Struthio camelus: one gene and its partners. The protein of the gene in region 2 purifies or fractionates together with the protein of the main gene of each other region. This does not show direct contact. Links are inferred from orthologs where the notes say so. Each region holds a gene or a part of one and is shown on either strand. Other genes may lie near its edges. The genes, in order: NEDD9, CRKL, GAB1 and GAB2.

What was found.
Region 1: the proteins of CRKL (region 2) and NEDD9 purify together in Homo sapiens (affinity purification with western blotting; 4 studies listed by BioGRID). This does not show direct contact. The link is inferred for Struthio camelus from reciprocal best matches to the Homo sapiens genes CRKL and NEDD9.
Region 3: the proteins of CRKL (region 2) and GAB1 purify together in Homo sapiens (affinity purification with western blotting; 3 studies listed by BioGRID and IntAct, with this or other methods). This does not show direct contact. The link is inferred for Struthio camelus from reciprocal best matches to the Homo sapiens genes CRKL and GAB1.
Region 4: the proteins of CRKL (region 2) and GAB2 purify together in Homo sapiens (affinity purification with western blotting; 3 studies listed by BioGRID). This does not show direct contact. The link is inferred for Struthio camelus from reciprocal best matches to the Homo sapiens genes CRKL and GAB2.

The regions. Positions count from the first base shown.
Region 1 is NC_090943.1:101,051,599-101,058,775, forward strand, and holds the start of NEDD9 (enhancer of filamentation 1), read left to right. Parts: upstream 1-4,166; 5' UTR 4,167-4,419; coding exon 4,420-4,431; intron 4,432-7,177. UniProt on the Homo sapiens protein: Scaffolding protein which plays a central coordinating role for tyrosine-kinase-based signaling related to cell adhesion. As a focal adhesion protein, plays a role in embryonic fibroblast migration.
Region 2 is NC_090958.1:9,181,361-9,188,257, forward strand, and holds the start of CRKL (crk-like protein), read left to right. Parts: upstream 1-3,892; 5' UTR 3,893-4,381; coding exon 4,382-4,695; intron 4,696-6,897. UniProt on the Homo sapiens protein: May mediate the transduction of intracellular signals.
Region 3 is NC_090945.1:33,971,251-33,979,225, reverse strand, and holds the start of GAB1 (GRB2-associated-binding protein 1), read right to left. Parts: upstream 3,005-7,975; 5' UTR 2,396-3,004; coding exon 2,324-2,395; intron 2,102-2,323; exon of another isoform or gene 2,055-2,101; intron 1,417-2,054; exon of another isoform or gene 1,402-1,416; coding exon of another isoform or gene 1,345-1,401; intron 1-1,344. UniProt on the Homo sapiens protein: Adapter protein that plays a role in intracellular signaling cascades triggered by activated receptor-type kinases. Plays a role in FGFR1 signaling. Probably involved in signaling by the epidermal growth factor receptor (EGFR) and the insulin receptor (INSR).
Region 4 is NC_090942.1:220,164,601-220,172,262, forward strand, and holds the start of GAB2 (GRB2-associated-binding protein 2), read left to right. Parts: upstream 1-4,644; 5' UTR 4,645-4,804; coding exon 4,805-4,876; intron 4,877-7,662. UniProt on the Homo sapiens protein: Adapter protein which acts downstream of several membrane receptors including cytokine, antigen, hormone, cell matrix and growth factor receptors to regulate multiple signaling pathways.

The DNA of each region.
Region 1 (7,177 bases), on a different chromosome or scaffold from region 2:
AGGACAGAGGGAGCTGCATTTATTCACTTTATCTGAAGGAGGGTCACTAAACAGGGCCTTGATGGTTGACTTACAAAGTTAAATGAGCGATTCCTGAAGAAGGCCTGCATGAAATGCCATTCTTGAGAATGTGAATAGCTTTTGTGTTTTATTATTAAAGGATGGGGGATGCCTTTAAGACTGGTTCCATATATTTTAAAAGAAATGTAGAATTCTAGAATTAATTAAATGGCAAAAAATAGTCAAATTTAAAAAGATACTTCCATTAAGATTTTTTTTTCTCACACTATGACCTTCGTATGTAAACCTGACCACTACAGAAAATCACTGTCAACCCTTCCTTCTTCCAGGTTTCTGTTACTGTTGCATGCAATAAACTGCTTGCCTTGAAAAGATTTCCATCACTGGTCAAAGAAAAAGAGAACAGATTTTGTTTTCATTTGCTGAAATGCAAGCTATTCCCTTCTTTGGATGAAAATGAAGGGTTTTTTTAATTATTACTTACTGAGATGGGAGCAGGGCCTTTCTGTCCAGATACACACAGAAGCCTGCCCACACCAGTGGTGAATTCTTGTTACTTTCTTTTCAGGAAACAGCAGCATTTCATCTTTTTTCACATTTCTCCAAGCAAGCAAATTCCAAATTCTGATTGTGTATAAAACCATTCTATACTGTTTAAATTCAATCCGCTGCACAGCAGCTGAACCAGTTCAGGCAGCATTATATAGGCTGTAGGATCAAGGCTCATTATTAGGACTCTCCTTTGCTCATAAAGTGCAGTGGCATTATAACTAAATTAATTTTAATCCCAATCCCCTGGCCAAGTATCGCAGCAAGAAGTGATGAAGATGCTGCATAACATTATCCAAAGCATACTTAGGGCTTTGTGCAGGAAAAAAGATAGCTCAGCGCTTCCAAAATCCAGAGCTCACAGACCTGTTCTGAAAAGACTCTCTCAACTGTGAGAGAGACGCTCTGCTGTGTCTCTCTCTTCTCAGGTTGTGTCATGGGAAAGGGGAACAAGGGATTTTTTGTTTTAGTAACCTTTTGGGCCAGGATATCTGTCTCGTGTTCTTCTCCTATCAGTGTTCACAGCACACTAGTTGGCTGATTTGCTTCAGTGGGTACTCCCTTCCCAGCCTGGCTGACAGCTCTGTTTCATGTTGTTTGCTGAGGGGTGCGGGAGGCAAGCATAGAGCTTGGTTGACAAGCAGCCCCTTTGGCTGCAGGACCATTTCACCTGCTGCCCTCCCCCAGGTATCTCAGAGCTGTATTTGGCAATTGGGAGGACATAAGGAGAACACAGTGGTAAATAAAAGAAGCAATCAGCTCATCAGGATGGTGTATGAAAGAAGCAGACAAGCACTAGGTAACCCAAATGAGCAGAGAATAATATTAATTTGCCCTCAGCAAAAGCAAACAAACAAACAAAAGCCATTGATGCAGGCACAAGATGAAGTCACAGAACTCATTTGCTACTTCACTAGAATTGCAGCGGCATAAAATACAAGGCAGTGAATCAAGTCATTGCTGTGCTGTGAAGCAAAAAGGCCCATTATATGAATCACCCTCCTGAGAACTTCAATAGGGCCCTGTCGTTATAAATCCTGGCAATATAGCTCGAGTTGCCTCTACAACACAGACACTGGTAAAGCCAGGTCTTGGCTTCCTCATCAGCATGTTCCATTGTATAATTTAGCTGATTACCCAAGGCGACCAATTCAAAACTTCCCAAGACTACTACGCCTGAAATGCAGTATTACATAGTCAAGGCACAGCAGTTGACAAGGTTATTAAGAAAAGCTAAGTGCTTGCACTAACCACGAATGTGTGCTTTCCACAGTCCTCACTTTTTTTAGTAATGTGTCAAGGTTACAGGATCATATTTACAAATGCCTCTTTCAAGGTATATCCAATTCCTGATATTCATGATGCATCAGGGAGCTCAGCCATGCTGCAAGCTCTGCTAGATGTGCTACACTAAGTGGGAGTATTTCACCCTTGGGGAAATTAAAAGCACCCTCAAAGCTCAAAGAGAACCTAAAATGGTTAACGGAGTAGGTGAGACAGACTCGAGGGAGGGTGAGTCTGAATAAAACCAACAGTGAGACTTAGTAGTGAGGTAGTAGTATGGGATAGCAATCTTTCTTCTTCCTTGCAAAATACTAATTATTTTATCTGTTCCTTTACAATTGTAAAGCACAGCTATCAACACTGGTAAACTTTGGGGTTTGCTGCCCCAAAATTTCATTCCAGTGACATCTACTTAAACATGTTTAGTATGCATTTTGGAGGAATGCATAATAAAGGAAAGCAATAAATATACAAGGGAACACCCAACTAGAATTTGACATTAACACATCTGTTACTGCATATTAAGGTCAGTCAGGTACATTTTTAAAATATCAGAAGCACTACAGGCTAAAACAGAGGAAGAGGTACAGCTTCTAGAAATTGTAAAGCATTCTGAAGAAGAAAAACAACAATCGCATGAAAATCCTATATTGGTAGGATGACTGGAAAACGGATACACTCTGGATTTAAATATAGGTGAAGTCAGAAATATGATTCTGCATTTCTTATATTGGTCTCTGGCGCTTATCTAGTCTTTATTAATGTGGTAACCAAGTGCTTTACAATCTTTAATGCATTTATCCTCTTGACAATGGTGCCAGAAAGGGAGGCTTTCACATATGGGAAGAATGGAGTGCAAAGAGATTATACAGGGCTTATTCAAGGAATAGGAATTTGGATGCTAGTTAAATACCATGCTAACACCTTAGCCATTGCATCCTCTGTCCTTAGGAAATGTACCCCAGGAGAAAATTTTATCCTCAGAGAGAGTGAAGGGAAAAAATATGCCAAAAAAAAAAATTAAACTCTATAGTTACAGAAACACTCCAAAGAGATTTGCACTCTCCTAATTGTAAGCTGGCTTTGTATAATCAAAGAAATTCAGAAATAATTCACTGAAAGAATTATTTTCTTAAATAAAGTATCTAATGATACAGCAACCAGGCAAGCTTTGTTCTGCTGAAACTACTGAAAACGTAAAAGAACGTTGCCCAAAACTCCTCTGAAAAACTATAAAATCAGCAAACAAACATAAAGAAAAAAATAGAAAAAAAAGAGGCCAAGCAGCTAGTGAAGCGACAGCAACGCATAGAGAGCACAGTCAGCAGCATGTTCTGCAGTGCAGAGAGCAGACGGTCACTTTCCTCACTTATAACTGATACATCTCTTGTATTGACAGGGACTCATATTATTAGGGCATGTGCAGTCAAGAAGAAAAATACAGACGAAAAATAGTTTTGCATGCATTTAGTAAATACGTGCTATACAACTTCATATTTTATCCTGGAAGTAGAGAATGGAGGAGGCGATTACAGAAAAGGGTATTACATTCTTTAGAAGCCATGAAGCCATTTTAGCACTTGCATCCTTCTCTAGTGGATCGGTTTGCATGAGCATTTAAGGATGCCACTGTACTGTGGAAGTTATGTTTGTAATTTAGTAGTACAAGATTATTATTTGCTGTTTTTCCTTAGGCCACTAGAAATAGTCTTGGGTCCATCTGCGACCTAGAAACGACTGGCTGGCTGTCGGGGCAGGCCCGGCTCCGCTCCCCTCAGCCTCACAGGCCCCTGAGGGAGCAGGCGAGGCTCTGAGCAGCGTTTGGTGCTGTTTGTCACTTCAGGGCAGCTATTCCCAGGGCTGCTTTCACTGACGGCCAGGCCACTCTGAACCTTGAGAACAACAGAAATCTCTCAGCAAAAGAGACACACCAGCAGGGGTGGGGAGGAGGAAGGGGCGGCAGACAGAAAACCTTTTGTTCGGTGCCCGTTTCATGTGGAGAATATGAGGTGAACGGCTTTGAAACGACACGGGACTGTCAAGGAGCCGCTGGGTCACAGGAAGCAGGGCTGTCGGCCCTCACGTTGTGAGCGGGTTTCTTTCCTTTTTTTTAAGAAAAGCGAGGAAGCAACTCATCTTAGCGAGCCCCCCGCCTTCCCCTCTCCCCTTCCCCTTCCCCCCCCCCCCCAACGGCAGCTCCGCCGAGGTAACGGCCACCCCGGCGGCGCGAGCGGGGAGGGAGGGGGGGAAGGGAAGGGAGGGGCGCCTTGTCACGGGCGCTGGCCAATGGGGGCGGTGCTATGCAAATGAGCGGGCAAGCCTGGCGGCGCGGCGGGCGGCGCGGCGCTGAGAGGAGGCGAGCGGACGGGCGTGGTGGTGGTGGTGCTGCTGCTGGTGGTGGTGGTGGTGCTGCTGCTGCTGCTGCGGCGGCGGCGGCGGCTGCGGTGGTAGCGCGCTGCGCTGCGCTGCGTGGAGCTGCAGGCGTTGGGGCGATGCGCCGGGGGCCGCCGCGCGCCGCCTAGCTCCCCGCGCGCCCGCCGCGCTCCCCGCGCGCCCGCCGCAGCCATGAAGTACAAGGTAAGGCGAGGCGGCGGCGGCCCCCGCTCCGCGGCGGCAGGGAGGGAGGGTGACCCTGCCCCGAGCCGTTGAGGGGGAGCAACTGACAGGAGCCTGGCGGGTGTTGTTGGAGGGAAATCGGGGCTTCCCTCGACGGGTGCGACCGTTGGCCAGCCGTTAGCCGGGGAGGGGGGAGGCTGACCGGGGTGGGGGGGGGGGTTGCCTGCTCTCGTCAAAATGCCAAAGGAGCTGCCCAGCGGCATGACGGTGTAAGTGAATTAGTACGGGAGGCTTTAAGTGGAAAATAATGAGGCAGTACATAGAGATAAGCTTGGAGAGGACTCTCAGATGTTTGCACGGCGTTGTGTGTTGAAAGAAGGGGCTTTTCTCTGCCTGTAGAGCTGTAGGTGCCCATCTGATGGCTAGGTTGCCCTCTTATTTACACCACTGCTGGTAAGGGTGTAAATACATCTGCTTGTAGGAAAATGCATTTTTATGTGTTGTATCCCGCACTGATTTGGGACAGTTATTGCTACTTCTCCCTGTGATGTAATCATCCCCTTTTCCAAATCTTTAAGAATATATTTGGTTATTAAATTGCAGTTTTTCAGGGTGGTCTGTTTTAATAGGCTGAGAGGAAAAAAAAACAGATGTATATTTTAAAATGGACAGTATACCCCCCTCTCCCGCCTTAAATAAAAGCAGTGATTTAGCCTAACCAGACTTTGTTTCAGAAGACACAAATATGGAGATTTCCATCATAATATTACTCTACTTAAAAATGTCTGGGCAAGGTACTGGATTGCCTACAGGGCATTAGATTACTGTACAGACATACCGTAATCTTGTGTGATTGGAAAAAAAGGGGGAGAGAAGGAAAACTTTACTTTCTCTGCCAAAAATAACTTCAACATCAATAAAAAGGTGATTTAGAAATGTCACATACATTACATACACTTACTTAGAGACTAGCTTACTTTGGAAGCAAAGCCCATCTTTTTATTAAATTTAAGCAGCATGTAGTGTAAGAGAGCCCAGATTCTGTATTGCTGAGCAAGGCTTACAGACCTGTGTAGAAAGGGATGTCTGAGTGCTGCCTAGACAAATATATATTTATTCTGATTCTTCTCTGTGCATCTTTGAGTTGGGCCCAAGCTTTCAGAAACTATCTTACCTAAACTTTGGGAAAGCTTAGAGTTGCTTTTCAAGGCTGCTGTCAGTTTCACTATCTCATGATGGTTAAAAGTGACCAAGAAAAGGGAAATTCTGTAAGATACAGATAGAGAAAGACCCTCAGTGACCTAGGAAATTTTGGCCTGGATGTGGTGGCTTTTTTTTTTTTTTTGACTGACTGATTAGACGTTTGTGATCAAATTCATCACCTGTTCCTTTCCACTCCCTGCTCAGATCAGTTCAGGCAGACTTGACACTGGTTTAGGAAAGCTGTACTTCTTACCAGAAAATATCAGACAGTTGGGAGTGAAAGAGCAGAAAATGTCATTGTTAGTCCAGAGCTCATGAAATGCTTTCCAATTACCTGTGACTAAGCAACACTTTTCTCAGTGGCAAAATAATGGCCCTGCATAATTATACAACTCCCTGACTTTTCTTGTCACCATCTAACCTTCGTGTGCTATGAGGGGATCATACTTCATATGTGGCCACGAGGCACTGCAGGCATAGGAACTGATAAGGTAGCTAGCTCTACCTTATTCGCCCCTTATCAGGGCGAATCTTCCTTGCTTTGTAATATTTCCTTTGCCCAGTCTGATTGGAATGAGCGCTTTGGTTCAGGGAGGTGATTACGTAATTCTAGACGGAGCAAGCTAGACAAAGAAAGAGCAAGTCATAAAAAACGAAGACAGAGTTTTTGGCCTCAAAAACCTTCTTGTCAGACTAGAGTGTTTACTTTCCCTGGGAAACGTGAAGTAGTTACTTATACTGTTTAACTGGGACAATCATCTTTAGATCTGTTTCTTATCCCCAGAGTAACATATAATGAAAATACCTGCTCATTCAGCCTCTGCTGTTTTCTTTCTATAGGAGAACAAACTCCTATACTTTTTATGCAGAAAATGAAGGAACAGAGTGTACTGGTGTCTTGCCTGGGAAAATACCATCACTTCAGAGGTGGCTTGGTTTCCAAGTATAGAGTTGGGTCTGCTTAACTACTCCTGGTATTCTCCAGGTGGTATTATTTTGGGCCCTTTCATTCTTTACTTCTCGTGGCCTTGTTTAATAAGGCCTTGTTTAATTAAATGACTGAGATGCTCATTATAGTCCAAGGAGAGTATTAACATTTGTATATAACAGGAAGTGACTCGTGTGCAAGGCCCTGAGTATGTCTTCCCATCACTGCTGATGTTACTTTTGCTGGGACCGAACACAAGGTTTTGCTGGTCTGAACTTCCTTTCTGCTACTCGTTCCGTATGTTCTACCTCTTTTCACTCATAAACCTTTTGAAAATTTGTTCCCTCTCCTTACTCTTCTTTGACCTAAATTTCTTTCATTCTCCGTCCCATTCTTTAAACATTTTCCCAACATAAGACTCAAGCCCTAGTCCCCTGAAAGCCAGTGGGACAATCCCTATGGATTTCAGCAAGTTTAGAATTTTACCTTATATCTGTCTCTCCGCTTTTGTCTCTCTGTCTTTTGCTCACTGTGCCTGATTCAGTGAAGATGTGACTGCTTACATCAAGAACAAATTTGACCCCAAGTTAAGTCCTATTCTACCATTCATGCACTAATTGGTTACTGGAGAATACA
Region 2 (6,897 bases):
TATTAAATGTTGCAGCTGGATGCTGTGCAAAGCAAATCAATATAAGGCTTAAAATGTAGTTATGAGGAAATGACTTTTTCTTCAAGCAGATCACATACGTTAGAGAAGTGTTCTACTATTTTTTCTATTTTTTTTCAGTTACTGATAAAATACAGTTAAATTACATCAACTAAACCTAAGAGCAGATATTATGTATTTTGATTTAGCAAAAAACAAAGCTTCAGTTGCTTTCACCCCAAGAATTTCTTTTCATCTGGGGTGTATTGTGACTGTCAAAAGTTATAATACGTACTACCTTACCTGCATGTATTTTGCTTGGGTAGAAAACAGAGTTTAGCTTAGCTCAAACCAATCTAATCATTTAGCAGTAGCTCGCTTTCGTCTAACATGTACCTTTCCAAACCAACACATAGGCTAAACAATAATGAAATTGCTTTGTTTTAGAATTGGCACTTTTACCTAAATTGGCAGGTGTAAAGAGCTTTGTTCTTCTTGTTTACTGCAGTTACATATAGAGAGAAATTGCAAGAGACTATACATTGATATGTTGAGCCATGATTACTATTGATGGGTTTTCTTATCAAAGATAATGCTTCAGGAACCTTGCCTTCATGAGCCCAGTGAAATGTTGTGTTATCTTAAGAAAAAGATGCATAGAGATTTCTGGCTGATTCTTCTTTTTTTTTTTTTTTAAATAAATCCTCTGCCTCCTAAATGTGTCAGTCTTATAGTAAGAAGCATTCCTTTTTTTTTTTTTTTTTTTTTTTAAAAACAGTCCTCTAAGACAGTAGTATAGTATAAGACATTGAGGTCAGATGGACAATGAATTAAGAAAGCTTTAAATATTTGAGGTCTGTAAGAGAATAGCCACACAATTCTTTCAGAACTAAGTGATCAAAATACAAATGCTTAAACTGCTGATACATTAGAAAGTCCAAAAGAATAATAACTAGGTTTCTTGATCATCTATTTTCCTATTTCCTGTCCGCGCAGAGGCAAAGTTATATAGGCATATTTGCTAGATTTGTAATTAGTGGACATGTATCCTGAACTATTTCAGGCTTCTGCATTTGGAGAAGTGATTGTAACTGCTTCAGTTTTTGTTTCATAACTGCTTTCACTACTGTATTTCTTCTCCACCTACTTCCAAATCCACCGTCTCCTTTCCCATTTCCTCTTGATTTAGATTAGGGTTGTTAATTTTGCTGTGGAAGCACAATTCATACTTGATCTGAAACAAATAAGGAGTCTCATTCTATACCCTTGATAGAAGTTTACTTCTCCTTACTTAGAATCCAGCCACATGTACAATTTATTTGTTATTCAGTACAACTGATAGGGGCAGAAGCTTCTGGTGAAAGGAGGAAGGAGCAGCTGGGCATGGGGAAAGAGGGACAGGAACCTTCTCAAGGGAATATTGTGCCAACAGAGTTTTTATTTCATCAGCAGCTGATGCACTTTAAGAAATCCCCACCTCCTCAGTTGTGCTGCAGCAACCATTCGACCATCCTCTGAGAGGGTGGAAGCCACCAATGGGTGAGAGAAAGAGCATAAACTTCTGTATATGTAATAAAAAGGTAAAGTGGTTCCATTAAACAGTCCTAAAAATCCATACATTTCTCCACTCTTCCTAGACAAACAGTAGTTGTAGGGATTTAACACATCTAAAATCACTGCCTGTAGTCTAGGTAGCTGATGCCCAGTCTTAGCAAGTAGTATTAACAATCTTGAACAAGTTACTTCTTTTCTCTTAGTGTAATAGAAATGGGATCTTTTACCTAGATCTGGCCTGGTTAAACCACAGCTACTGAAACTGAAGCAGGAATTACCTGAAGGGTACATGCAGCCTGCAAGAATGTAGGAGGTCAGAACAGATAATTGTGACAGCTCCTTCCAAATTGAAAACCTCGCTACATTTTAGAATCTTCTTTGGATGAAAAGGCATCTATTTTTTACTGATTCTGCTGCTAACTTGTGACTTTTTGTAATTATGTTTAAATGGTGTTGGGTATGTTATTGCAAATTGAAATACTATCTTTCAATCTCTACATTTTGGCTATGGCCACACAGAAAATGATCCAAATCCGTTCAAATGACAGAAGAAAACACAGCACCCTTCATAGTTTGTGGTAGCCTGTCTGCATGCATTTAAAATTGATTCCAATTGACAGATATGAGAACTTAGACCAGTAGGAATGAATCAGAGGTATAGCTGCCAGGTAAGTTGCCCTAGAAATGGAAGAATATCTTTACACAGCTGTATAGCTTCAGACGGTATTCTTCACCTTTAGGTCTGCTCAGTTTGGCTAGCACTGCTGCACATGGCTAAACAGCTGCTGTTTTCCACCCAGGAGATGGCTGTACTTCAACGGCTGGTAAAGTGATACCTGTACATGTATTTAGGGGCATGCTTTAAGATCCTTTCGCGCTAGTGATGAGATTTTCTTGAACAATTTTGTTTAAGCCATAAGCATCCGAGTAGGCAAGTCTTCCATTTTAGATCGTTTGAACTATGCTGAATGTCTAGAGAGATACATCCCATGCTTTCCAGTCCAAACACTTCAACTGGCACTAGTGGCCAACGTAGGAAGAAAAACAAGGAGAAAAAAAAAGACCGTGCTGTAACTAAGCTTTCAGAAAAGACAGAGCATGAAAGAAAAATATCAAAGCTGGAATAAGCTGACACAATAGGTCCAACTGAGCACTTCAAAACAGTCAACCTAAATCCGTCTCTTCTTGAAACGTTATTTACATGCTTAAAGCTGCTTCATTTTCACGCTGTCAGCCCCAAAAGCAAAACGAAAAACAAAAATCAAGGACACAAATTAAACAAAGTCATGAGAGCGAGCTAAAATCACAATGTTTGTAAAGGTTTATCACATGTCTGGGGAACTAGGTCTTTTGGGTGCTGTTTATTTTGGCATGCCGTTGCCCACTGCAGTGGGATACGCTAATTACCACCAGCGGCCCTCCCAAACTTGAGTCAGAGGGCGTAGGCCTCGCTGCCCACGCTCCCGCTCCTCCTCTGAGGTCACAGCGCGCTGAGCTCCCTCTAAAATTCAAACAGCTCATGCTGCACCGCCTGCCCTGCCCTCGGGGCTCGCCGCATCCTTTCCGGGGGTTTCCTTCCTCTTGGCGGCTGCAAGGCCATCGCCGTCGTCCCTTCCCGCCCGGCGCCCTCCTCGCCCCCGAGACCAGAGGCGAAGGCCTTCGCCCCCGTTAGCTGCGAACAGGCCCAGCAGAAGAGACAGGAAACCGTCTCCTCTCCTGAGCTACGTAGGAACTTACCTCCCTCAGAGGGGGTTATCACGGGGGTGCCTTTTGCCCTTCCAAAAAATTCAATTAACAGAACAAGAAAACCTCAGCCAGGCTGATCTCCGCCTCAGGGAGCCCTCGCCCGGGACGGGGCGGCCGGCACACAGGGATGGAGCGGGGACAGGCCGAAGCGGGGCACGCCGAGGGGGGCACGGCGGTGGGTGAAGGAGGTAAATGGCCCCCCCCCGACGCGCTGCCCAAGGAGCGGCCAGGCTCGGCTAGGCAGGCTTTCGTGGGGGGAGGAGGAGGGCGGGGGAGGCCGCGGTAAGGCCTGCTCGGTGCTCCGGGGCGGCCGCCCAGGAGGGGGGGGGCCCGCTCCCCCCGGCCTCCACAGCAGCGGGCCGGGCGGCCCGGCCGGGGCTCCGCCGCGGAAGGCTCGGACCGCCCCGGCGGGGGGAGGCGAGGGCGCTGCCGCCCCTCAGACCGCCGCCCCTCCCCCCGCGGCGCGCGGTCGTCGCCGCCGCCGCCGCCGCCGCCGCCTCCTCCTTCCCCCCCCCCCCCCCCCCCCGGCGCGAGCCGAGAAGCGCAACGCGCCTGCGCGGCCGCCGCCGCCGGAAAACTCCCACCGCCCGGCGCTGCCGCCGCCATTTTAGCATTCGGCTCCGAGAGTGGAGGGAAACCGGCAGGAGAAAGCGGGAGCCGAGCGCTTCTGTCCGTCCCCATCCCCCCCAGCCCCCGAGGCAGCGGCAGCGGGCTCCCCTCGCCGCCCGTCCTAGTGAGCCGGCGCCGCTCGCCCAGCCCGGCCCGCCGCAGGCCTGCGAGCGAGGCGGGAAGGATGCCCTGCACACCCCGCCGCTGAGGGAGACTCGGGGGCCCCGACCGCCGCGCCGCGCCCGCCCGCCCTGCCCCGCCCCGGCCGCTGCTCGGGCTCCGCCGGCCCGGGGCTTCCTTCTCTCTCTCCCGCCGGGCCTCCTATCGCTGGCTGAGCACTAGCCGCTTCCTGCTAGCCCCCAGCCCGCTCCGCCTCCCCGCCCAGGCCTTCCCTTCTCCGCGTCTCTGCCTCCGCCTGGGCCTTCGGGCTCTTCACCTTCCTGCCCCGCTCCCTTCCCCTTCCCCGCCCGGAGCCATGTCCTCCGCCGCTCGCTTCGACTCGTCGGACCGCTCCAGCTGGTACGTGGGCCCGGTGTCGCGGGCGGAGGCGCAGACGCGGTTGCAAGGGCAGCGGCACGGCATGTTCCTGGTGCGGGACTCGTCCACCTGCCCGGGGGACTACGTGCTCTCGGTGTCGGAGAACTCCCGCGTTTCCCACTACATCATTAACTCCTTGCCCAACCGCCGCTTCAAGATCGGCGACCAGGAGTTCGAGCACCTGCCCGCCCTGCTGGAGTTCTACAAGATCCACTACCTGGACACCACCACCCTCATCGAGCCGGCGCCCAGGTGAGTGCCAGCCTCCCCCCCCCGCGGCCCCGGCATCCCCACGCTGGACGCGGGGCCCCGCCGTGCCTGCTCAGGAAACGGCCCCTGAGGGCCCTTCCTTGGGAACCGCTTCCAACAGCGATCCTCCGCACTCCGGATCTCACCGGCCGTTCCGAGCTGCTCTTGCAGGTATATCGGCTATAGCAGTGCACGTCCTTACAGAGCCCGTGGGCATGTGCGAAGGTGCTGCGTGCATCTCTGCCCCCCGACTGCAATTCTCTCGCAGTGGGTGTGGCCTCGCTTTGTATCAGCCTGGCGGTATTGTCCTGCTCCTCGGGCGGTTGAGGACCTGGTTCACAGCTCTTCCACTCAGCGATCGAGATACAGCCTCAGAGCTGTCCGTCTCCGCGTCCACAGCGGTTAGAACAGAAAAGGCCTTTACGTGGTTAGGCTGTACCACCCTGTTAAGTTAGTTTTAACGCGTTCTAGGACAGCGTTTCCCAAGCTTCTGGAGTTCACTTCCCCCGAAGAATGGAAATCGTAATATTTCTCCCAGCCTGGTAATGGCACTGTATGCCTGTGTCTGCATACTGCATGCACTACACTAAAAAATGCTGCTCTAGGAGGATGGAAAAATATGACATAGCTATGAGCTCATTCTTTGTTCTGTTCCCAACATGAGACATAACCTGCTGCTTGCATCAGTAAACTATTTTAGATTTATTGATGAACTTGCTCGCTCCTTACTTTGATTTATAAAGCTTTTCTCAGTATGTTATTTCAAAGCTGTTCAGCTTCCTGTACAGAATGGAGTGAAAATAAAAGCTAGATAAATAGTGAGACACACACAGACAAACAAATTCAAATTAGTTCACTACTAAATTCAGCAGTTTAAAATGTTCCTATCATCTGCAGATTAAATAAGTTCTTAAGGAAAAAAAAAGAGCTTTTTGCTCACGAGTTAAGCTTGGCTTTAAGCATAGTGATGTTCTTAACAGTCAGTAATGTCAAAAGTTGACAATATCTTGTCAAATTCCACAACTCAGATGGTCAAAAAAAATCTTTCTGCAGAGCTGTCAAGTGATGTAAGGGATGTGACAAGTCACTAGCTTCTAGAACTGTTAAAGCTGCTAGAAAGTCTGCACAATTGTGCTTTGGCTGGAAAGATGAATAGGTGAAGAATTTGCTCATCTTTCACAGTTGCAGGGCTACTTAAATGGAGCTGCCCAGCATTATGCGCATGTTTAAACTTGCAGATGGTTGGGAGGAAAAACCTACATTGAAGCAATCCTTATGTTTATCTCAATTCTTCCCTGAATATGGATGTGCTTTTCTGAAAATAAGAACCTGTTCATAGTCATGTATGGCAATAACTTATTTTGCTTTCCTCAGCCACTTAAAAACTTGGTGTCACTTAGCTGACCCCAACTTGCTCACTTCCTATTTATTTAGAATCTTGTGTCAAGCACATTACAAACATTTCAGAACCACATCACTTCAAGCTTTTGATTGCATATAGGAACTGGTGGTTGCTCCCCTAGCGTACAGAGACAGATTTGAGACCTTGCATGCTGTGGACTGACCTTTTTTTTTTTTAAACAGAGCTATTAATGGGATTGATTAGATGGTTTTGTTCATAGTATTTTTGTTCAAACTCTTGGAGAAAAATCAATGACACAGTTGATGGCTCAAAATTAAACTTAAAGGAGACTTCCTGCTAGAAGGGAGAAAGAAAAGTAGCATTTCCTGACTTTTTTTTTTAAAAAGGTAATGAACTGGACTTAGAATACGAAGGGTAGGCATATGCTTCAGAACTGTTATTTCTTTTTCTTCCTTATAAAAACTTGGCTTTTTTGGGAGGGGGGAATACTTTATTCAGGTTCTTGTATTCTTGAAGGCTTTTTTTTAAATACCGTTAAGGACAGGATGAGGAGATAGTTGTCATGATGAGATTGAACAAGTTTGTTGGTGTACAAGTTTCTTTAGCTGCAGGAGATGACGTTTATGCCAAAACAGTTGAAAACTAAATTTTCTATTTGTTTTCTGGCAATAGTGAGTTTTTACCATCATTGCAGATGTGCCTAGGCCCTTGCTTGTGTGGAGTGACTGGTCTCTAAAGTTTCTTCCTCTTTGGCTTCAGCAGGATACCTTAAAGAAACAATTATATTCCTATTTAAGGTTTCTGGAATATCTTAATAAAAAACACAACCAACCAACCATACT
Region 3 (7,975 bases), on a different chromosome or scaffold from region 2:
GCTTTCCTGTCTTTTCTTCTCATGCAGCCTCTTGAAATATCACCAGTATAACATAGCTTTAAAAACATAGCTCTTTTGTGCCTTATCATAGACATAAAATTACAGAGAGCACAAGCCAACGTTTCAATCACTGTGCACTCAGTCCAAAATCATTGTCTTGAGTTTGTCAACTTTTTGTTTGGATAAAGCCAACAACCATGACGCAGAGGTCACTTTTATGCCTTTGAAACGAACACAAACCACTACAGACAAGCAGGAGAAATCTTGCTTTAATCCCTCCCTCAGACAGCACCTTTCCTTCATGCAGGAGAGTACAAGCAGGTAACAGTTGACAGCAACGTGCAAGATTTAAACTTACGACCTTACGGCCTACAGTGCATACAGAAGCTGTACCAACTAAGTCATGCTGAAGCTAATATAAGCTTGCTGTACTATCCCTCTGATACTCTAACTCCTCAAAAAAAACCTCCGTTTTGAGTAAAGATAAAGGAACCACTTCTTCAGGACTGCGAACCCCTTAACCAACACGACAGTTAGAGACTTCCTCTCAAAGGGTGTAATTTTATCTTAATATGGGAGCATGAATGAATGACGTGAATATACCTTGAGAAGATAGCTACATGGAAAAAAAAAAAAAAAAGCTAGTGTATTTAAAGACTGTGATTTACAGTATCAATTTAGGACACCAAGTGCTTGTTTACAATTTCTGCCATCAACAGGCAGCATAACTGTTTGCTATTTAAAGCTTGGGCAGAAAACTCAAACTTTAAAAACTTTAATAGTTTACTTAATACCTACACATTTCACTGCTAAAGTGAAATGGTATCCTGTGAGTATATTCCCTATGTGTATACAAGTACACGCAGCAGATCAGCCAAAAACACAGCCCATGTCCAATCTGGCGGGGAAGCACAGCCCTTCCCAGGCCCATCACGACATACTCTTTGCAAGTCTGATCCTGTAGCCTTAGCATGAACAGGATTTTTGCCAGTGGGAACAGGAGGGTGGGCTATCCTCCCCCTTCTTTGGAAGGGGAAAAAAGCAGAAGAGCCACATTTAGCCAATTCCTTGGCATTTAACAATTCATCAGTAACAACAACCGCGTGTTTCTCTAAGTTTATTCTCCAGGAAGTGACTGTCAATCACTAACAAATTAAAATAACCCGATCACATTAAGATCTGCATTCACAGATTCTCAAATGAACGTGAAGAGGCTTAATTACTTTGGTAAAACTGGTAACTGCAAAGCCCATTTCTATTTAAATACTTGCTAAACGAAGATTTGGGGAGGGAGAAAAACAAAAAAAAAAATGCCCCAACATTTTGTACCAATTACACAAATACCATGAAGTTACTTCGGTGCCAATGGGAAAGGGCCTCGGCAAAGAGGACTTCTGGCATCACCCATCCCTCCTACGTGACTTGACAGCGTCTCCGCCAACACCGAAGAGCTACCCAGAGCACAACAGCGTTGCTGTTCCCCTGTCACGAAATCTGCCCTCTCAGCAAACAAGCTCCATTTTCCTGCAACCGAAATGTCAGCTCCTCTACAGCCTGTTAAAATATTTACTTCGGAGCAACAGTAGGCTGCTATCAAAAAAAAAAAAAAAAAAGAAGAAGAAGAAGACGACAAATGTATTGCAACTCCTTCCTCTCTCCGGCCGCTTTCCCGCTCTGTCCCAAAGCGCTGGGTGCCCGGGCCGGGCCCGGCGGCTCCCGGGGCATCGCCGGCTCCCGCAGCCTCCCGGCCAGCGACGGCGGCCGCCGCACGGAGCGGGGCGGCCCCGGCCCCGGCCCCGGCCCCGGCCCCCTCCACGCGCGCACCGGCACGGCCAGGGTTTACGTTTAAAACACATATATTTGCTAAGCCCGGATCCAAAGGGAAGAAGAAAAAAAAAAAAACCAAAAAACTCCGCCCCTCTCCCAACTCGCTCAGAAAGGCGATAAAACGAAGGCAGAAACATCTGACCGCTCGGTGTCCTTCTTTTTCACCTCCTCCCCCCCCCCCCAATAAAAAATAATAAAAACAGAAAGAAACGAACAGAGACACGTACACACACACAAAGCCGACCGAAAGCCCTGCGGGAGCCGGCCGAGGCGCGGCGGCCGAGGGGGCCGGGCAGCGCCCGCGCCCCGCGTTGTCAGCGGCCGCGGAGCCGCGAGGGGCCGGCGGGGCGGCGGCGGCGGGCCGGGCCGGGCCGGGCCGGGGAGGACGGCGGAAAGGGGCAGAGGCGAGGGGCGCAGGGGCGAGGGCAGGGAGCGGACGGGGAAAGCGGGGGACGGGAGAGGGGACGCGAAGCGCCAAGCGGGGAAGAGCACTCACGTAGCGTTTCAACTTCTTCTCCGGCGGGGACTTTCGGAGCCAGCCCGAGCAGACCACCTCGCCGCCGCTCATGGCTGGGGCCGCCTGCCCGCCAGGCCAGTCGCCCTCCTCCTCCTCGGGCAGCCGGGCCGCGGGAGCCCCGAGACGCGGCGGCAGCACGGCGCCCGCTCCGGCCTCCTGGGGCTGCGGGGCGAGGGCAGGGAGCGAGGCGGGCGGCAGGCAGGGCAGGGGCGGGCGGGGGGAGCGCTCTGTGTGTGTGGTGTCTGTCTGTCTGTCTGTCTGTCTGTCTCTCACGCACGCACAAACAGCCGGAGCGGCGGCCGAGCGGAGTAACGAGCGGGGCTGAGGTGGGAGGCTTCCCCCCTTCCTCCTCGCCGCCCTTCACACAAACATCGGGAGAAGACGACGAGCGGCGGCCGCCGCCCCGCCGCAACTTCGGCTCCGGCGTCCCAGGGCAGGATCCAGCCGCCGCCGCCGCCCCGCCTCGCTTGCGCCGCCTCCTCGCCGCCGGGACCCTCGCGGCGGAGAAAGGCTCCGGGAGGGGCTTCCCCTCCTCCCGGCCGCCTGGCAAATCTCGGCGCTGGCTGCCGCAGCGACTCGGGCGGGCTGGCTCACTACCTCCTGCTCCTTCCCCTTCCTCCTCCTCCCCTCCGCGCGGGGAGGAGGGGACCGGCCAGCGCTCCTGCCTCCTTCGCCTTCACCTCCGGGGCACGGCGGGGGGACGGGGCGCCTCGGCCCGCCGGACGCCGCCCCCCGCGGGGCTCGGCGAGCGGAGCCCGGGGGCGCAGCCGGGCAGCGGCGGCCGGGTCTCGCCCCCACGCCGCCGCGGGGTCGGGTCCCCTCTCCCTCTCCTCACGAGTGTGGGAGGGATTTACCCTGGTATTCAAAGCGTGTCCCCCCCCCCCCCCAGCCCACTTTTTCTCCACAGCGCCGGCCGCGGTGGCCAGTTGAACGACGGCGCCACCCCGCCCCGCTCTCCCCCCCGCCACAACGGGCGGGCAGCCGCGGCGAGCCGAGGAGCCGCAGCTCCCCCTGAAACTCCGCCAGAGCCTTTTCAAACAACAAGGGCCGGGAGGGGGAAGGGAAGGAGGGAGGGAGGGGACGGCGCTTCCGACATGGATCCTGGGAGCTGTAGTCTGCCAGCGGGAGCGGCCCCCGGCGGGTAGCCGGGCCGCGGCGACTGCGGCGGCGCGGCCGTTAGGGGCCGTTAGGGAGGTGGGGGGCGCGAGGAGGCGCGCGGAGCGTTCGGCGGGCGGCGCCCTCGGCGCTGACCGTTTGCCCCGCTGGAAGGCGAGAAAGGAAAAGGAGAAGGGGGGTAGGTTGCCTCACCCCACCCCCAAGAGCAGATTTTTTTTTTTTCTGACTTATGTGGAGTTGAGAGGTCTGCTTTGGGGGCGTGCGGAGCTTCAGCTGAATATTCACGGGAGCTGAGGAGGGCACGGGTTTGTTCTCAGCTCTGAAGGACAGGTCTGTGAAGCTAATGCTGATTTGAATAACAAATGTTAAAATTATGACTGAAATGTTGATTAATTCTTTGAAACACACCGCAAAATCATTCATTAGAGGTGAAAACAAAACAAAAAAAACACCTATAAAAACGGCTTTAAAAACAACTCGGCGAAAGTAAACTCCTTTTAGCAAGTCTGAAACTGCCTTGGCAAAAAAGTAGAAAGTTCGGTTACTGGCTTAGAAAAGTTAAATGCCAAGTTCATTTCTTCCCAGAGCGAGCCTCTGGCCCTGTGGAGTGACGTTGCTTCTGGTAAGAAAGCTGTAATTACACGTCTGCATGTGACAGATGAGATGTATTAATTAAGGTGGACGTGTCGGACGGATTTGAAGCGTCTCTGCAGTTAACACGTACGCACCACCCACCATCGCCCGAGCCTGTGGAGCTACAGTTAAAACACCAACCAGCCAACCCGAAACCCCTCAGCACGAGAGTGTTCCCTACCAAAAAAGTCACGTTTTTTGACAGCTCGGGCCTACTTATTTGTATGTGGTGTTTACAGTGTTATTTTTAAGTGGTGTATCCGCTGGCTGTAATGCTGGCTCCTGCATTTCCCTGGGAAGTAACCACAGCGCCCACCTTTGTTGGTAAAAAACTAACCAGCTCCCTGTGTAGTCAGTGGCAGGAAAGGCGCCTCTAGAGGGCGAGTCAGAGCACCGACAGTAACTCCTGCTCTCCACCAGCCGGTGGAGATTGCAATCAGCTCCCGAGATTAGTCAGCAAATTACATGGTGTTTGGGGTCTAAAGTCTGGTGATGTAAACAGCGACTAATGCGTTTTCTCACCTTTCTCTTCTCACGTGCGTTGCCTCTTGTCTGCTAGTTAGACTGTGAGGTCTTGGGGACAGGGCTTTCTGGTTTGTGTTTGCACAGTATCTTCCACAGGTAGGGTCTGTTCACAACCAAGGCTCCTCTTTGCCACCGTCCTACAGATAAATGCAACTGAGAAAAAAGGACAGTGGTATGCAAGGCAGTCCTAGGCATTATTCAATTAAAAGGGTAAAAATAAGTCCATTGAACAGTTAATCTCTGCTGACAGTGCTCTATCTTTTCCACTCCAACAAAAAGGAGCTCTAAATATGATTTTTTTTTTTCAGATTACTTATTTGCAGGGTTCTGGAATGGGACATGTTGTTTGGTTAACAGCAGTGCTCTTCCACTGCAGACAAATAGTCCCCCTAGTGTACCTTTGTTGAAGGCAGTGTCATAGTTACTGTGATTCATCAAGGTATAGCGCATTAAAAAGTAACTAAACAGCATCAGTAGCATTTTGACAAAGTCACTTGCAAAAGTAACAGGAAAATGAAAGATTAAAGCCAAGAGCCATTGAAATCGGTGCATCCACTTCACTGTAGATCTTTACACAGAGTTACTTTCACTAGTGCTTGAAGTTTTATGACAGGTAAAGCACTATTAAATATTAAAAGAAAGATAATGAAAGAACAAAAGATTTTACCAAAAACATTTAGAAAAAGACAATCAGTGAATTTTGTGCTTTACCAATGTTAAAGTGCACAAATCCTAGCATCCAAACCATCCTCGCTTATATTTTGATGAAACATCATTTCATCTACTTCAGTGGGGTAGCGGAAAGAGTGAGAAGGTGATTTGATGCGTACAGTTGATAAGTATGAGCTCAAATTGTAATATGTGGTTTAGACTTCACGGTGGGCTTCAGTATAGCTCTTTTGTTTAAACCACTAATGTAGTTGTCTAATGTTTTGACATTACATAGATATTTTAAAATATGCTGGAACCGGTGTTAGCCCAGAGTCCAGCATTAGTTTGTCCTGTAACTACAGTAGCAATTAATTTTCTTGAAAACAGCTACCTAGAGATGCACTTTGTGTGTAGGTTTCATGCCTGCCATATAGTGATAAATCACAGGTTAGGAAAAAGGAGTAGATGTCAAGTATATCAATAAATGATGAGAAAGTAGTAAACACTTATTTTTAGACCGTGCCTTATTGTTATATACAATAACAGGCCCAAACACTGTCTTAAAAATGGTTCATTGGATTGTTGAATTTAAGAAAATATAATACAGCAAAGAAATACTTCAGAATGACTTGTTAGATACGTAACATCTTTTTTTAAGATGTTGTCTAATGGACTGCTTCCTTGCTGATCATGGTGGTGTATTTCTCTTTCGACACTCAATTTGTTATTGGAACTACCCATTTACAATTTCACTGGCACTTTGACCAGTAATCTTAAGAAAGAGCTGCATGTGGCTATATTTATCTTTTAAAGTAAGTTAACAGCTAGCAAAACTGAGAATGTTAATACAGTGAGTTTCCATGCATAACTGACAATGTTCCACAGTTCATAATTGAGGCATCCTGAATTAGGGCAAACCAAAGCAATTAAGAACACTGATGAAATGCATAAATAGCACAGTATTTAAGTCTGACTTGTAACGTCTGCATAGTTATTGCTGTATAACTGTCTATGTAGAGAAGTTAGTGGGCCTAACTATAGTGAAGCAATTATGCCGTCCTTACAGTAAGGTAAGGTAGGGCGTGATTTCCTTAAGTTAGGATTAAAAACTGCAAAAATTTCTATCAAACTTGAATGTTTCAGCTAGTTTTCTTATTGTGTTTTTGCCTTGAAACTTTAAACAACATAAGCGTGGTCCACTTTGAAATTCTCCTGAAGTACAGCTCGTGCGTGGAAGTACAGACTCACTAAGGTCACAGAGTGTTCTGACAAGCTCGTGGTGGAGCCGTTGGGTCACACTGCCATTTGGCTTGATAGACTACTGTAACTGCACATAAGGACACGAGTACCCTCTCCCCTCACTTTGTTCCAGAGGGTTATTTCTGTACAAGTGTGCTGTGATTCAGGAAGCGCAGAGAATAAAGATCCTATGAGCTCAATTAATTGCACTATGGAGATCTTTTGTGTTTCTGTACAAGGACAGTCTTGAAGAAGAAAGGATTTTCTTTGCCTTGCCAATGTATCAGTGATGGCCTGAAAACCTGAAGAGGTTTCATTGCAGGTGCTAAGACAATCTTGCTCTCTCATGTTGTGAATACTCAGGACTTCTGAGGAATTGCCACCTTATTTTTCAGGTGAAGTTCCTTTGCTTTAGATTGTCTCTTTTTTTTAATAGCAGTAATAAAACAATCAACTGCAATCAGTTGTTTCGCAGGTGATGGGGTTACTGAGTTGTTTTTTCCATTTTTTGAAAGAAGTTTGCAGTTTTTGCAATGCTCTATGTAGCCAGGGAAAGGATGTGCCCAACAAAGCAGCTAGAGAATTGAGCAGAGATGGAATTCTCACTGACTACAATGCCAAAATAATTTCAGGCCTAGCCACTGCACGGTTGCATATGTTACTATTTATGAACCCTGCATAGCTGTTGTCATCCAAAATAGTATCCGTTTTGTGACCAGATACTGTAGTGAAGTATGTAGTACAAAACTGACTAAAATGCACTTTAACTGGCCAGGCGACACTGTGCTCTGGTATGTGACTACCACTCACAGTCATGGTGCTTTTGCCACCTTCCAACTAATTAACTGTGTTATTTTTGGGCTTTAGGCTCCTCTGACATTTTTTCATCTCAATTATTACCTTGCTTATAAGAGCATGTGAAAGAAGCCTTGGTTCTTCCATTGACTTTGCGTTATTTTGTGAGTGCATTCCAAAGTGTTTTAAATGGGTTCTCCAAAATTTTGGAGTAGAATATTTATATATTTTACCACATAGAGTAGGTCATGTGTAAATTCATTGCCCCTGGTATGTCTGCCAAGGCTTCTTGACAAAGGAAGCAGGAGCTGATAGAAGAGGAGATTAAATTCATATGGATTTGTTTTTTAAAAATATGAATGATACTAATTTCTCATACAAATAGCTTAGAAATGCTGGAATTGCATAATAAGACCACAGCTCTTAATTATGACATAGACTTAAAACTCTAATAAAAAAAATCATATTTTGCATGTCAAACTATATCCCAGAACATGTTTACGTATTTACACAGCAATGAACCGGTGCAAAAAGATTCTTCTAACCTTAAAAAAACCCAATATAGACATCTGTTTTCATCTCAGATATTTCCTCTCTGAGCTCGGAAATCTTCCTAGATAAATTTAATTTACAGAGTTCTTTTTGGTCAGTTTGCGGATAGCTTTATCTATT
Region 4 (7,662 bases), on a different chromosome or scaffold from region 2:
GGCTGGTGGTCTTTCCACCAGGCAAAGCTGCCATGGTTTTCTGTCTTGAGAAGGTGAGAAGACAATCTGAAAACTGATTTCCTCCTCTTCTCCTCCTCAGTGGAAACAGCGTAAGTGAAAATAAGGGTAAACAGAGCTGCCAAAAATATATCTGGATGTATCTCCAGGTGAGAGAGTTTGCATGAGAAGTTCTAATCTGAGCCCCAAGTTTGGGAATAGTTCAGTAGCGTTTTGGTGTGGTTCAGCTCCAGGCAGAACCGCTTGAAACTAGCCAATGTAGCGAGGGAAACACGACTGGGCTTTAGCTTGGAGTGTGGTTCGTCTATAGGAAAATCCATTTAATTATCTTCAAGTGTAAGGAATGGAAGAGCTCCACAGGCTGGAGCCTGGCCTAGCTGCATCCGCAGAAAGGTCCAGCTCAGCAACCCAGACATCCTCCCAGTGCTGCCCAGCGCATTGCCTCCGTGGTGATGTGCAGGATTTCACCGTAATCCCCAACAGAAAGGGGATGAAGCGGGTTTGATCCATTGTTTTCACATCACCGTCTTGGAAGAGCAACACCTATTCTTCACTACTAGCAACTGGACTGATAAGTCCAAGAGTGCATGTGCAGCTTGGACACTGATGACCCCTGCCTCATCTCTTCCTTTCTCCCTTTTTTGAGCCTCTGTTGAGGCGTCAGAGCTTTGATGCCTCTGTCTTTGCCAGAACACGGTAGCAACGATGCTTCAAATGGTCTAGTCATCTCAGAGCATCCTGCGCTACGATTGTCCCAACTCATGGAAAGCAGCCAGTGCTGCTGGAGCTGCACTGAGGAAGGACGGTCTTGTGGTTTGGCTTCGATTACGGGCTGTTCTGGGGGGCTCGCCGTGCTCTTTTACGGAGGGTGGCAAGATTCAAGTTCTCCTTGGAAGAGATGAATTTCTAACCTTGAACGTTTTTTTGTGAAATAAAGGAAGCTGTTTGCCTCCAGCTCTGCTGCAGGAGCTGTTTGGTGAAGATAAAGCCAGGTCGTATTGTTGGGGAGCTGGATCTCAAGAGACCGCACATTCGCTCCGGATGAGAAGCAGGCACGTATCGCCAAGCAGCACAGCTCGTTTTTAAAGCCTGTCCCCCTCCAGTATGTTTAGGTTTATATTAACCTCAGCATAGGGCATTTCCAAGAGATCAGTGCCTGGCTGGGGTAAGTAGCCCAAAGCATTTCACCCAGCTGGTGCTTAATCCCCAGGAAATGCCCTGCGTCTCTGTCCTTACTGCTTACACACTAAAAATCTGGTGTGTGGAGGGGAGAAATCACGCTTTCTTCCCCTGCTGCCAGTAGATGGCACAGCTCATTTAAACAAATTTGGAGCAGGCAAAGAGCAGCGGCGGGCGTTGTGGTTTGTTTCTTAGAAGTTGTGATTTTTCAGACATACATTTCGGTTCCCTTACGGCCAAGAACAAGGAAGTACGCTGAAGACTGTGATTAAAAAAACAGAGGTTTCTGCAGCAGAAAGTGTCATTCCTTTTCTGGCACCTCGGCGTGCTTAAAGCACGGCGCCGGGGGCTTTTTCTTGGAACTGCCCTAGCCTCGTGTGAGGAATATGATTTTATATACGATCTCTCTTAATTTCTCCCTCAGTCTGCCTCCTAATTCTGCCTTTGCCCCTTTTTTGCTGGTCCCACTGGCAGAGAAGGAGTCTCAGTTGCTTCGCACAACCCCCTCGGCGTGTTTTTTTGCAGCACAAGGAGGTGGTTTTTGCAGTTTTCAGCCGGGGCTGTTGGCTGTTAGCTCACGACTCGGGAGATTCACGCCGTCAGCTGGGGCCAGCCTTAGTTCAGGCTCTGCCGTCGGGTGCAAGAGCAGCTTGAAGTTGGGAAAACTGTCACGGGCGTGCGAGCGCTGCCAAATTAGAGCTGTGTCTTTGTCTTTTAAGTCCTAGAAGCGTTTGGAGTAATATTTGTGTGGCCAGATGCTTTAAGTGGCACCAGCAGTAAGAAGCGTTGTAACATGACGTGCATGGTATAAAATGTGATGCGGCAGCGCGATGCCAGAATGAACTTGCTGTTCTCACTCCGCGCGCAGCCGTGGCAGCATCAGGCAGCCGCATTCACATGCAGTGTCGTCGTTTCGGCCTTCCCCCCCCCCCCCCCCCCCCCCCCCCGCATAGAGCTTACATTTTATGTTTGCGATGGCAGTGTGTTTCAGAGCACGTAAAATGCAGCCTATTTCCTTTCCCTTCTGAAAGTCACGGCAGCCTGGGGTACGTGCATGGCCAAGACGTTAGGGCAAAATCCGTGGGGGGAATTCATCTTTCGAACGCTGTTCGGATATATCTCGTGATAGAAAAAGGTCAATAAATTCGACCCAAAGTAGGGGATGAGCAGAGCAAAAGGAGCAAGGGAGCAGGAGAACGCAGTCCAAGGCTGTCGCCAAACGTGTGACTACTCGTTCCCCTTCAATTCCGTGCAAACCATGAGAATTACGGAACATTTCATTGAAACGCCTATCGCCCAAACAAAGTGTTTTCGATGCTGCGTGCTGAGAGCTGTTAGCATAGAAATGCGGCCGGGGTTCTTTGTGACCGGTTTGAAGACTGATACCACTTTGCATCAGTGTCAGCATGAGGGAATTCCTAACCTGTGACTCATTAACATATGCTTTGGAAGGGGTTTGTACGGTACCAGTGTATTCATAATGAGAGCCGATAGTCCATGCTCGATTATGTCGTCCTAAGCCCAGGGTAAGCTGCTGACTTTCCTGGAATTGCCCTGGCTGTTGGGAAGACCTCTCGGGCTGAGAAGGTCGGTCGCTGGGAAGCGATTCTCCCTGTGAACGTGCAAAGCGCCTTTGTAACCCGTCATAGATTTACAGGTGAGCCTCTCGGGCAGCGTAAATTGATACCGCTCCAGTCCACTGAATACAGCAGTTCTGATTTGTGTCGGCCGAGAAGCGGCCTCTCTGTCTTCTCCGGTTCCCAGTCCCGTCAGACGGAGCGTATTTTCGGAGATGCTGATCTGACAAGAGTTGGCCTCTATGGAAAGATTGCCCCACGCTTAAATAGGACCGAGCCCTCGATGTGGGCGGTGAAAAGGTGGAAAAGCTTCTTTACAGACTTTGCATTTCACCCATGGGAAAAGGACGAGCATTTTGAAAAAAATATGGTTGAAAAAAATGATATACTTGTTCTTTAAGGGGTTAGTCCCCTCCTTTCAGTGTTCACGAAGATGGTAAACAACACCTGGCTTAACTGTGTTGTCCCCATCTTGAGAAGAGGTGTCATCCCTACCCCTCCGAGGCACTGCAAGCTGTAATTACTGCCTGTAAAGTGATGCAAGATCCCTGCTCGAACAGTGTTGGCGTGTGAGCCGGCGTCTAGGTGCTATTGCACCAGATACAGTACAAAGCGAGAGACTGTCCCTGCCCACGTGGGTTGGACAAGTTGACAAAACGCCACGAAGGGAAACTGAGGCAGGGAGGGACGATTTAATGTGCCCAAGCAGGTTTGGGGCAGAGCTGTCATATAGAGGCAGGCTGGGGAAATGCATCTCCGGCAAGCAGCCCGGCGTTGTGTTTTCCCGGTACGTGGATAGCGTGAAGGCGTTGAGAGCTGAGAGCGCTCGGCGCTAGCAAACTTCTATCAGCGCTGTTTCCAGATTTTCGCTTCTAAGGAAAGGCAAAAAGAAGGTTTAGAGCATGATCCTCCTCTCAGGGCTGCGAAGGGACGTTTTGCTGGTGCCTCGGATGGGGAGAGGATCAGACCTTGAAGCGCACAGCGTTTCTAGATCTGGAAGAGGATGGCTAAATCTCAGCTAGGGTATAATACACTGTAATACGAAACCCAGCTTGTCTGCATGAGACTCCAGTGGCAGTCAAATCCCCTTTCAGTGGGTGCTGCTCCATTATTTAAAAATCAATAATAAAATATGAAGCTTTTATTGATTCCTCTCCTTTTTTTTTTCCTTTTTTTTTTTCCAGGAGGATTTTTTTTTTTTTTTTTTGCTAGAGCATGGCATTTGACCGTGTTTTGCCTCCACCTCTTTGTTTTCCTCCGGCTCCTTCACATCTCCCACAAAACCCTTAACCACTGCAGGGTGTAAGCCGCCCTCTCCTCCCTGGGGTGAGAAGGACAAAATCCATAAAGAGAGGGGAAGCGTCTGGGGGAAGAGCGGGGGGGAATCTAGTGATTAATCCCCATATCCTTATCCTGTGGGGTGTTGGGGTGTTTTTTTTTTTTTTCTTATTATTTATTTTTAACTAGCTTGGTGGGGGGCTTTGCAATGCAAGATCCCGGCTCAGACAGGATCTGCTCTGCTCCAGGAGGTCACCTGCTCTACGCTAAAGTTCCTATAGAGATGCATGCAGCTACATACGCACACCCTGTGCGCCAGTGCGGGCCGAAATGAGCGGCAACACCTCCGGGGGAAGGAGGAGCCCTCGGCCAGCCCGGCGACCACCCAGCTGCCGCCGGGGGCCCGGGGCTGCCGCCGCGGGAGCGCCCCCTCCACCCCCCCGCCCGCCCGCCCGCCCCTTCCCAGTGCCGTGTGCGGGGTTTTGTATCTTTAATAAAAGCAGGCTCGCCTGGCAGGGAGGGAGGCGTGGTGTGCCGGGGAAAAAAAAGAGGCAGTTTCCTGCTTTCCCCGCTCGCAGCGGCTGGCCGGGGCTGGGAAGGCGGCGGGGGGAGGAGGCTGCCGGCAGAGCCGGGCGGCGGCAGCAGGAGCGGCAGCAGGAGGGAGGAGGCGGCGGCCGCGGCTGCCACGGTGATGGGCGAGCGCTGCCGGCGGCGCTGAGCGCCCCGCGCTCGCCGCTCCGCTCCTCTGCGCCATGAGCGGCGGCGAGGTGGTGTGCGCGGGTTGGCTCCGCAAGTCCCCGCCGGAGAAGAAGTTGCGGAGATATGTAAGTGGGTTTACGGGGGGGGGGGGGTGGGAGGCGCGGGCAGCGGGCCGAGGGGACACACGCGCGGGCAGCGGCCCGAGGGGACACACGCGCGGGCAGCGGCCCGAGGGGACACACGCGCGCCGCCGGCTGCACCTGCCGCCGCAGCCCCGGGCGCGCCGCTCCGCGGGGGGCGGCCCCGGCCGCCGGCTCCGCACCGCTGCGCACCGCTGCGCAGCGCGGACGGCGCTGGGTGCGCGCCCGCTGCGGGCGCCACGCGGGTCAACACGGCCCGGCCGCGGCTGCCCACGGCGGCGGCTCGGCTCTTCGCGTGGTTTTGCGCTTGGCGCCCGGCGCTCGCTACCCGCCGTGGCTGGATTCCCCCCCCCCCCCCCCCACCTGCGCTGGGCGCCTTTGGAGATTGCTTTTTACGGGATAATAAAAATAACGCGGATCTCTTCCCCCCCCCCCCCCACCGCTCCGCACCCCGTAACGGCTGCTTCCCCCCCTCCCCGCTTGCGGTTGCTGTTAATCATCTGATGTTCAAACTCTTTGAAGATTGCACCAGTAGCACTTTGGTAGCCTTTTTTTATGTGTGTGTGTGTGTGTCGTTAGCGGCTGAGATCAAACAGTTCAAGGAAGTTGTAAAGAAGGGTCCAAATGCCAGCCCTGTCACATTCCCGACTCCTTGAAAGAAATAACTGTTCTTTGCGCCCGCCGCCTGACGCTCTCCCAGTGCGCCACAAGCCCCAGAGCTCAGGAACGCGACTATGTAAAGCTGCCGTCCTGTGACTCGGCAGATGAAGTCCCTGAGTGCTGCGCGCTGGCTCCGGTGACTCAACTCTGCCGGGTTTCGGCTCCTTGGCACCGCAGCATCCAGCGCGAGCGGGATGCTCTTGCTTCCTGGGATACCCTTCCTTCCTGAGAGGCACCACCAAAGTTGTCCTTCCTTCCTGTTGCTTTTGCCCCTGTGCGTCTTGGGAAGCGCAGGCAGGACAAGCGTCGCTGGGGTCTCCCCTGTGCCATAGACGTGTTATTGATTGACGCACCGCTGCATACCCCAGAGAGGGTGGTGGGTATGAGTAGACCCGTTCCATAGGGAGGTAACTGGTTCATGATTGAGCATTAGTCCCAAATGAGTGCAGCACCGTAGACTTCAGCGGCGCTACATTTCCTCACTTTGGACCATGCTTGGTTGCTCTTGGCCATCCACTCGTTGCTGTGCCTGGTCCCTTTTGCGGGAGGGTTGGGTTGGTTCCAGGCTGCAGATGGAATGTGTGATGGAGTTGAGGGAAAATCCAGTTCCTTCCCTCCCTGCCCCCTAAATGTACTGAGACAAAGCCTGATGTATGTAAGCAGCTCTCTGCAAGATGGACAGACTGACTTTGTGCATGCTGAACAGCGGAGGATGCTTTTAGCTTAATGGAGCAAAGCACCTTCCTCCCGCAGAAATCAACTAATTGCTGATACTGAGTCACCAGTGGCCTTAACTCATCAAACATCATTAGCTCTCCAACATCTATTCAATGAAAGGGCGCTCACATCGCCTTCTGAATATCTAGCTTGTGCTCTGGCATTCCAGCAAGAGCTGAATAAATCTGCTAAATGCTATACATGAGGGTGTGACATGCTAGTGGTTAGTGCTAATTATTGATGTGCATAAGAGTGCTTTTCATGCAGATGCATCCCAAAGTGCTTTGCAAGCCACCTATGTTTTGAAAACATCATTATTCCCCCAAGAGGAAACTCAGCCATTCCCAAATGTACCCGGTCGTCCTATGCAATGTTAGTGGGTCAGGAAGCAGCAATGGACATATGTAACTCAAGGGGTTTTCTCTATACTCCGGTCCCGGAGTTGTGGTCAGTGGGACTTCCCTCCAAGTCATGCTGGTTGCACTGGCTTCCTGTATGACCATGGGCCCAAGTTGCTGAATTTTGCCTCTATCATCTTTTTGAAGTCATTTATTCTTAGATAGGCAGCTTGGCAGCTTTCCCCCCCCCCCCCTTCTTTACTTCCTAGTTCCAGTTAAATAGAGAAAAGTTCTAGTGAAGTGTGCTGTGTCACGTGGAAAGTCTGCAGTGGCTGGAAAACTGTGCCCTTCATTTGTACTGTGTCTCGTTTGGTGGTGCCCTATCACTTTTTAGTATAGAGATGGTGATATTATATGGCCATGCCATGTATGTGTCCAATGTGTACTGTGTCCAATTCTGGGCTCCCCAGTCCAAGAGAGACATGGCACTGCTGGAGAGAGTCCAGCACAGGGCTACAAAGATGGTGAGGGGACTGGAGCATCTCTCCTCTGAAGAAAGGCTGAGAGAACTGGGTCTGCTTAGCCTGGAGAAGAGAAGACTGAGAGGCAAGCTCATTAATGTGTACAAGTATCTGAAGAGGGGAGGTGTCGAGAAGATGGGGCCAGACTCTTCTCCGTGGTGCCCAGCGACAGGACAAGAGGCAACGGGCACAAACTGAACCACAGGAAGTTCCATCTGAACCTGAGGAAAAACTTGTTTCCTGTGAGGGTGACAGAGCACTGGCACAGGTTGCCCAGCGAGGTAGTGGAGTCTCCTTCTCTGGAGATATTCAAAACCAGCCTGGACGTGATCCTGGGCCGTGTGCTCTAGGTGACCCTGCTTGAACAGGGAGGTTGGACTCCAGAGGTCCCTTCCAACCTCAACCGTTCTGTGATTCTGTGATTCTGTATTAAGGGTGTTAGAGCTTTAATCAAATTGCCCCCTTCAGTAGGGGTCCAGAGCATTCAGATGTGGCCAGGAGTCCCCACTCCTATAAAACCTGCCATCAGTTCAGC